3 linked regions of the Saccharomyces cerevisiae S288C genome follow. The protein of the gene in region 1 purifies or fractionates together with the protein of each later gene. This does not show direct contact. Each region holds a gene or a part of one and is shown on either strand. Other genes may lie near its edges.

Evidence for each region.
Region 2: the proteins of RPN13 (region 1) and PRE8 purify together in Saccharomyces cerevisiae (affinity purification with mass spectrometry; 2 studies listed by BioGRID). This does not show direct contact.
Region 3: the proteins of RPN13 (region 1) and RPN9 purify together in Saccharomyces cerevisiae (affinity purification with mass spectrometry; 3 studies listed by BioGRID). This does not show direct contact.

Annotation. Positions count from the first base shown.
Region 1 is NC_001144.5:964,458-967,422, reverse strand, and holds RPN13 (proteasome regulatory particle lid subunit RPN13), read left to right. Parts: upstream 1-1,862; coding exon 1,863-2,333; downstream 2,334-2,965. Other genes in the region: guanine nucleotide exchange factor DCK1, read right to left, coding at 1-1,526; URA4 (dihydroorotase), read right to left, coding at 2,544-2,965. UniProt on the Saccharomyces cerevisiae protein: Component of the 19S cap proteasome complex which acts as a regulatory subunit of the 26S proteasome, involved in the ATP-dependent degradation of ubiquitinated proteins.
Region 2 is NC_001145.3:85,320-88,431, forward strand, and holds PRE8 (proteasome core particle subunit alpha 2), read right to left. Parts: upstream 1,421-3,112; coding exon 668-1,420; downstream 1-667. Other genes in the region: UTP14 (Utp14p), read left to right, coding at 1-470; RPM2 (ribonuclease P), read right to left, coding at 1,804-3,112. UniProt on the Saccharomyces cerevisiae protein: The proteasome degrades poly-ubiquitinated proteins in the cytoplasm and in the nucleus. It is essential for the regulated turnover of proteins and for the removal of misfolded proteins.
Region 3 is NC_001136.10:1,320,523-1,323,892, forward strand, and holds RPN9 (proteasome regulatory particle lid subunit RPN9), read left to right. Parts: upstream 1-1,682; coding exon 1,683-2,864; downstream 2,865-3,370. Other genes in the region: SNX41 (Snx41p), read left to right, coding at 1-1,419; BNA7 (arylformamidase), read right to left, coding at 2,932-3,370. UniProt on the Saccharomyces cerevisiae protein: Acts as a regulatory subunit of the 26S proteasome which is involved in the ATP-dependent degradation of ubiquitinated proteins.

The sequences.
Region 1 (2,965 bases):
TTATTTATTAACCCGCCCCAACCTAAATCCGCATCCTTTGAAGAGTTGAAGTTTTGCGAATCCGAGGAATCGGAGCTATAAAGATAAAGGTTAAACCTCTGAGCTTTATTCGCAACTGATAGGCCGTTATAAAACTTGAATACCGGAGATATGTTAATAACTCCGGCAGCTAAGCCCTTTTTTACGTGGTCAATCTTATTCTCAGTCGATGAATTAAATGGAGAAAATGGGGAATGTGAACTTGACTCTTCGGTAGATATATTGTAAGATGAAATTTCCGGAGCAGTTTCTGTTGTAATTGCTATTGTTTCCTTCAGCACTACTACTAAGTATACTTTATTTTTATGGACTATCGTTTCCAAAATATTCTTGAATAACATTGCAGGAATTTCATCTAGAGCTGATTCCATATTGGACGACTTCGTCATGGTAAAAGACTCTGTTAAAACTTCGTCTTTGGTTCTCAAGTATACACAAATAGAAAGATCTTGATATTTAGGATCTGATATAGAGGGATCCCATGCCAGATCTTTCAAGTTAACCAAAATGCTCGATCTAACTGTGCCGAATAGTCCGTTAGATGAGGACTCATCATCGGACTCTACCACAGGTACAGTAGGAAAATTATTAGTTAAACCACAAAGCATTGACGATGACACTAAAGTTCTTAATTTGTCGATCTCGTATGAGAGCAATTCGCCAGTATCAATATCCCTGGCAAAAATTCCTTCGAAACCATAAGGATCTGGGTTTCTTGGAGTAGAGTTAGCAATTAGTTTATTCTTCCTGTATGTGGAGGACAAAAATTTTGCGATTTTAGTTCTTAGGGATGTTGCTGCTCTTATCAGATTTATTTTCTCAGCCTCTGTGGTTAAATTCATAGACAATCTAAATCGTATAGTGTCCAAATCATAATAAAGTTTTATCATTTTCCTATATATAGAAAACTCGCCAATTGAATACATAGAGTAAACATGCGAGGAAATAAGAGATAATATAGGACCCATTTCGTCCTTAAAGGACCTCTTTTGGTATCTGAAAAAGGGGAACGGAGGTCTCGGTGTCTTTCTTGGTTTACCAGTTGATATATCATCAGTAGAGCTAACATATAGGCTGTCACAAAAGGAGCGGGACTCACATTCTTTACTTATCAATGGTTTAAAATCCTCAGCACTAGGTGCTTTGAAAAATGGCATTGTGCTGACGGCTTTTTCTGCTTCAAAATGAACATATTTTCTAGGAAATATCACTACTTTCGGTTTCACGTCTGGCAGTACATCATTCGCCGAGTTCATATTCGATATGAATTCTTCAGGAAAGGGTCGTAAACATTGGTACGCTCTACACCATTTCTTATCCACAGATTCTTCGAAGACGTAAACTTCTGCACCCACATAAACGTTCGCATAATTGCTGTTTTCATATACCAGCTCAGGATACCTTTGTAAGGGAAGGAAAGATTTGACTAGCACACCATATATTAGCCGATCCGTGGGCAGCCAGCGCTGTGAATCCTGTTGCGACATTGTAATAGTAATCTCCCTAAAGAAAAAAAGACCCCTGTTTTATATGACTAATCTTCGGTCCTCTATAATTTCAATTGAAGCAATAATTGACTGAGTGGTGTACAAACGGTTGCTTGAACCATTTATATTATTTTCAACTCATCAAGTCATCCCCTCCTTGATATGCGTTATTGATATATTTCAGTTAAAATTCCTCCGTATTTCGTGATATATTATTCGCGAGGTGGCGAAAGCTTTGCTACTAAATACTCTACTATGACCAGTAGATTAGGTTCTATAAGGGTGCCAGAAAACTACCTAAGTGCTGGTTGACTTATAAATTTTAAAAGAGTGTTGATGAGTATGAGTTCAACTGTAATTAAATTCAGGGCTGGTGTTTGTGAATACAACGAAGATTCACGTCTATGTACGCCAATTCCAGTTCAGGGTGAAATCGAGATCAAACCAAATGAAGAGGAAGAATTGGGATTTTGGGATTTCGAGTGGCGTCCAACGGAAAAGCCGGTCGGGAGGGAACTTGATCCTATTTCTTTGATTTTAATTCCTGGAGAGACCATGTGGGTTCCAATAAAATCCAGTAAAAGTGGCAGAATATTTGCTTTAGTTTTTTCATCCAACGAAAGGTACTTCTTTTGGCTGCAAGAGAAGAACTCAGGTAATTTGCCCTTAAATGAATTGAGTGCGAAAGATAAAGAAATTTACAATAAGATGATTGGAGTGCTGAATAATAGTAGTGAAAGTGATGAGGAAGAAAGCAATGACGAAAAGCAAAAAGCTCAAGATGTGGATGTTAGTATGCAAGATTAAATCAAGGTTGTGGCATTTTTTGATAAAAAACTGAAGAGAAAAAATATACCATATCAACGCATTTGGCTGTGAACTTCTGTAAAGAGATACGGACCATAACAATAGGCATGATGATGGCATCTATAACTTCTATTGGAAGGTAAGTTTATTTTTCCCATAAATATGTATATATGGTCTATACTCTCAAATGAGCCTACATATTGTTGCATATTAACGAGGTTCCCATCTCACCGACCAACTTAGTTTATCACCTGCTTTAAATGGGATGATGCTTATGTCTTTGCCATCGCTGATAACCTGAGGGATAACTTGTTCTTTTTTGAATAATATTGCCTTATCTGAAGAAGCCACTTCGCTATCTTTAACCTCATAAAAGGAAATTCCGAAGTCGGAAACAAAGCCCTTTAAGTTCTCCAAGGCATTTTGCTCTTCAAAAACTTGGGCGATATAAGGGATCGCAAAAGATTGTGAGTAAACTCCTGCGCAAACACCCTCGTAATTGGCCTTATTTTGTACAGGATGAGGTGCTGAATCAGATCCAAAGAAAAAATATGGTTTCCCTGATACAGCAGCTTTGACTAGAGCCTTTTTGTCATTTGGAAGTTTCGCAACAGGTTTGCAAAAATTTACCG
Region 2 (3,112 bases), on another chromosome or scaffold:
ATAATGTATTCATGTTCAAGCAGCAAGACGTCATTGCGGAAGCCTTTGCTGGCGACGACGTGGTAGCAGAATTTCAGGAGGAAAAGAAACGTGTCATTGATGATGAAGATGATAAAGAAGTTGATACCACTTTACCTGGTTGGGGTGAATGGGCCGGTGCAGGTTCTAAACCAAAAAATAAGAAGCGTAAATTCATCAAAAAGGTTAAGGGTGTTGTTAATAAAGACAAAAGAAGAGATAAGAATCTACAAAATGTGATCATAAATGAAAAAGTTAATAAGAAAAACTTGAAATACCAATCTTCAGCGGTACCATTCCCATTCGAAAATAGAGAACAATATGAAAGATCTTTACGTATGCCGATAGGTCAAGAATGGACATCCAGAGCATCTCATCAAGAGCTTATCAAACCGAGAATCATGACTAAGCCAGGCCAAGTTATTGATCCTTTGAAGGCACCATTTAAGTAACTGATATTTATTGGTGGTAAAAAAATGCATATGTGGCACATTCCACTTTTTATATCTATTTATTATGCATTGTGTAGAATAGTAATACTGGAATAATTAGAAAAAAATCATTTAAAGGTTATGTAAGTTATATACACAATTGGCTTTCTTTTGGATAAGTTGAGTGAGATGGGTGATTGGCGGGGATAATTATAACATCATAATGCTTCTAATCTATCATTTATTTCTTGAGAAGTTAATTTTCTAAATCTAGGGCCTTTATCGGTTGGAATACCAGTGTAGCCTAGCAAGTCAGGGTTCTCATCGCCAATAATAGCCAGTTCAATGGTGTCACCATTGAATTCGCCCTCTACCGACTCCTTCAGCGTTAGTAAGGCAATATGAATGGCGTCTTCTAGTTCCAGTTCATCATTCCATCTTTTCTCTAAAAACGTTTTTGCCGCCACAGAACCTTTTCCTATAGCGGTGGCTTTCCAAGGGAAGTAGGAACCGGAAGGATCCACTTGATATAAACTAAACCCATTAAATTCGTCGTGGCCAGCAATCAACAGTGAAACACCAAAGGGTCTGACACCACCGGACTGTGTAGCCTCTTGCATTATTTTGGCTACTTCAGAAACCAGTAATTTGGTGGGAGGGTATTCACCATAAATTCGTTTATAACTAGTATGTGCTACCTTTCTTGATTTATCCACTAAAACTCTATAATCAGGCCCCATACCGGAATATACTGCACCAATGTCCGGTGTTAGTAAGGATACCTTCGAAAGTGTTTCTGACATGGCCAGTGGCGAGGACGACTTCTTTTCTGTGGCAATTACTACACCATTCGTAGCTTTTATACCCAATGAGGTGACACCTTGTTTTACTGCCGTCAAGGCGTAATCAATTTGACCCAATTTACCGCTGGGAGAAAAAGTGGTCAACGAAAAAGAATATCTGTCGGTCATAATTATAGAACTGTGTTGATTGGTGTCTTATGGTTGCTTACTACTAATTGAAACTAAAAATATAAAATGCTTCACCTATTCCACTCTCAGCTTATTGGGGCCGGGGACAATTTTGCCACCTTAATAAGCTATTATCGCTTTTCACGTCGAAAGGAAAAAATAAAAGCGTAAGCAATGGTGTAGATACTTCTTATATAGACGTTATTATTACTATTATTATTATTATTATTATTATTATTATTATTATTATTATTATTATTATTATTATTATTATTATTATTATTATTATTATTATTATTATTATTATTATTATTATTATATGACATTAATTACTTGTAATTATGTTATAACAGTGAAATAAATAAAATATCAAATTGTAAAGGTCATGCTTGAAGAGGCTTGCTCTTCCTTAAAAGGGACCTGAATTCCCTGACCTTTTCAATATTGGCATCATTTCCACTAGTGATGAAGCTTTCTTCTAGATAGCTCAGTATCTTATTGAGACCTTTCTGTTGGAGTGAATAGATCAACCCATTCTGAAGGACTAACGAGGAAGCGTGTTCGTTTATATAAATAGTTTCGATCAAGTTATTGAACAACATTGAAGGAGTGAAAGGATTTAAAAAAGACTCGACTGAAACCAAGGTCTTCAGTTCATCCATGTCCAATTCAGGTGACTTCAAATAAGCTTTGAATCTGCAGTAGTTCTTTACTTTTTCTCTCAATTTTTCCTTCATTGATTTGTCATTTTCAATGCTGGGAGACAATAGTCTGATGGAATCATACAAATTGTTTAGCATTTGATTCAGGATTTCTTTTTTAACTTTTGCTGCCATTCCACCGACGTTGAAGTTCATGAGGTGATCTGAATGGGCAATTAAGTTGTACGTCGATAGTAAATTTATGAAGCTTGTTTGGCTGGATAAAATATTGGCGAATTGTAATGTATTTTCCGGACTTTCATAATACGTGATGTTCCTATTGAAACTATCCAAAAATAAGGCAAATGTATAAAGGTCCATAGTCTTATGGGGGGTTCTCAGCTCCCTTGGAGTCTTTTCAAACAGCGTGAATGCCCCTTTTAAATCATTCTTATTAATTAAATATTCTAGCTGAATATCAATTTTTGATGATTCGCTTATTTTGTCATTAAACTTTTTAGAGAGACTTTCATACTTCTTGAATTCACCAGACCTGATACAAGATTTTAATAAAAGTTCCAAATTTAACACCGGAACAATATTATTATATCTCAAAATATCTGCGTACTTACCGCCGTCAAACAGTCTTTCATAAATCAGCTCAATAGCATTTTTGTTTTCGGCTTGAATAGCAATACTTTTGAACTTTTCTGGGAAATCACAGATTCTTATGAAATTCGATAAAGATTCGCAGTTTTCGATTAATTTTAACATAGAATCATTTCTTAAATTTGGCACAAAAACTTTGCTAAATTTTGGATTATTGATTATCAATTGGGTTAGGTTCCTACCAGGAATCTTTGAAATCATCAAATTTACGATATTTTTTAGTTCAATTGAATCAGGGCATACCTCTAAGCACTTGTCAATAATTTGTTTGTTAATAGCTCGTTTAATTATCAATTCTTTATAAGTGTCATAATCAAAGCAATAACCTTCTTTGCTCAATTTCGTAAATTCTCTTATACCACCTCTGGGTGAGTTCCTGATG
Region 3 (3,370 bases), on another chromosome or scaffold:
TACTCTGAATTTCATTCTTTGAGGCAATCTCTAACTAGACTCCTTCCTACGATAATTATTCCACCCATTCCATCCAAGCATTCTCTTCTCAAATACATATGGAGTCCCATAAACGCAGCAAATGATTCCAAAATTATCTCCACCAGGAAGAAAATGCTCAATTCATTCTTGTCTAACTGTCTGAACATTCAAGAAATAAGCAACGATATTGTTTTTCAAAAATTTCTAAACCCTGAATTTAATTGGAAAGATGTTTTAAGTTCGTCGCCGATAATCATACTACCTTTGAATAACCTTTTAGCTCCACCTTTAAGCCCAACAAAACCAAGCCCCCTTCATTCTATTTTACCTATTCCATCCAACTCGTCTCTGAGAAACTATAATTCGATTTGGCAACAACACATCACAGTAAAAAGTCATAATGAAATTTCCAACCTCCCAACAGAAATTTTACAAAACGAATCTCAATTTACACATATTGAAAATTTATTCCAAAATTATAAGCGAATAATCACCCATTTATTAAAAAACATAAGATCAAATAAATCTCATTTCCACTCCTTGTCCACGTATTTTGCTGAATTAGGCGCATATTATAATGCTTTTAGTTTGGAAAATGACATAACCATGCCCAACAGCCTTCGCGAATCTGAAAACAATTCAAACAACCCAATGATGGAAATTATTAGTCATATTGAAAAGACAGGCCATTCATTCGATGTTATATACATTTCTTCCGAGATCTTAATAGAAAAGTACACCTCTATTCTTGAGGACCCCATTAATGAGTTATTGCAGTTCTTAAATGAGTCATTCAAAGTTCTAAATTTCAAGAAATTAAAGTTTTTGCAATTTAAAATATTAGAGAGGCTAATTATCGAAAAAGAAACGAAACTTTCGAGTCTCACTGAGATTGAAAACCAACTGCAGAAGATTAATGAAAGTTTAACGCGGTCGACTATATTGACAGATGAAAATTACAAAGATACAAAGGCTGCTGACCTGACATTTGTTAAAAAGGACGTAAGATCGCTATCGAAGTCAAGTTCAAATTCAAGCTCCAGTGGACACCAAAACGAAATTCATATAGGCGCAAGTAAACTAAACTATAAAACGTCTACGCCAACAATGAATCTCAATAAATTAGAAATCAAACAATTGACTGAACAAGAAAGATCTAAACAGATCAAACAGTTGAACCAAGATTTATCCAAATTGAAAGATTGTCTATCAATCTGTATATCAGACATGCTAGAAATTAACAATTCGTCATACAACAGCTTAATGCATACATATAACCATATTAATTTGACCATTGGAAAGATCTTGAAACTTTTCGCAGCTAGCTTCAAAGCATGGATCAAAGAATGTCTGAAGAATTGGAAACTGGCAAAGTTACAAATCGACGAGGCCCTATAAAAAGCATTACCGTCACGCATCGTGTTGCAAATAGCATATACATATATATATATATATATATACATATAACGTATACGTTAGAAAAATTTGAATACACACATTCATTTATCCTATTATTATCATTTTCATTCTTACCCGCTCCCCGCTTTCATCCGGTGGCAAAAGTAAGAACAAATAAAAGCTAGACCTAGATTGAAGAAACTATTAAGTACCAAAAAGCAAACAGTGGGCACACGCGAGGAAACCACATTATATTTCGCAAGATGTTTAATAATCATGAAATTGACACCATATTAAGCACTCTCCGCATGGAGGCAGATCCCTCTTTGCATCCTTTATTCGAACAATTTGAGAAATTTTATGAAGAGAAATTGTGGTTCCAATTGTCCGAATCCTTGACTAAATTTTTTGATGATGCTAAATCTACACCATTGAGGCTCAGATTATATGATAACTTCGTTTCTAAATTTTATGATAAAATCAACCAATTGTCAGTAGTAAAGTATCTACTTGCCTCTTTGAAGGATTCTAAGGATTTCGATGAGTCTTTAAAATATTTGGATGATTTGAAGGCTCAATTTCAAGAATTGGACTCTAAAAAACAAAGAAATAATGGATCAAAAGACCATGGTGATGGTATTTTGTTGATAGATAGCGAAATTGCTAGAACTTACCTGTTAAAGAACGACCTCGTTAAGGCAAGAGATTTATTAGATGATTTGGAAAAGACATTGGATAAAAAGGATTCCATTCCATTAAGGATAACAAACAGCTTCTATTCTACAAATTCCCAGTATTTTAAATTTAAAAATGATTTCAATTCTTTCTACTACACAAGTCTATTATACCTTTCTACCTTAGAACCATCTACAAGCATTACTTTAGCCGAACGTCAACAATTGGCCTATGATTTGAGTATCTCAGCATTGTTAGGTGACAAAATCTATAATTTTGGCGAACTATTACACCATCCAATAATGGAAACTATAGTCAACGATTCCAATTACGATTGGCTTTTCCAATTATTAAATGCTCTAACCGTTGGTGATTTTGATAAATTCGACTCATTGATAAAAGTTCAAATATCAAAGATTCCTATATTGGCTCAACATGAATCATTTTTACGACAAAAAATTTGCCTAATGACATTAATTGAAACAGTTTTTGTCAAAAATATTAGGATGCTTTCATTTGAAGATATTTCAAAGGCTACACACCTACCAAAGGATAATGTCGAACACCTGGTCATGAGAGCCATAAGTTTGGGTCTATTAAAGGGTTCTATTGACCAAGTAAATGAACTCGTTACCATCTCCTGGGTCCAACCAAGAATCATAAGTGGTGACCAAATTACAAAGATGAAGGACAGACTGGTTGAATGGAACGATCAAGTAGAAAAACTGGGCAAAAAAATGGAAGCTCGTGGCCAATCCATCTGGGTTTAGGCCATTGGCAGTTATATATAAAACACACACGCACACATATATATAAATGCAGAAATAAAATCAACTATCAACAAATATTGTCAAAAATATACTTCGCAACTTTACCATTCTTATAAACATCATTATGCAAACCCAAATCGTCCAAATACAACTTGAAACTTAACTGATAATCCTGAAGACAAGAAATTAAACAATTAGTTTGTCTTAACGTTAATAACTCGTCGCTATAAGAATGCACTAGGTGCATATCAATACTGAAGCGAGAAAGGGCTTTCTTCACGTAAGGCATTACTCTCGAGGGCTCTTCCTCGTACATTTGAATACCATCAGGGAAGGCAAGTCTTGTAAAACAATCATACTCTGGGTATTCTACCAACAGTTCCTTTAACGAGTATATACCATCCAATAGAAATACTCTCTTCACGATCTGCAAAAGTCCCAACATTTGCAATTGCGCTTCACTCATTTTTTCTTGAGGATCTTTGAGTGCAGCTAATATCTGCCAA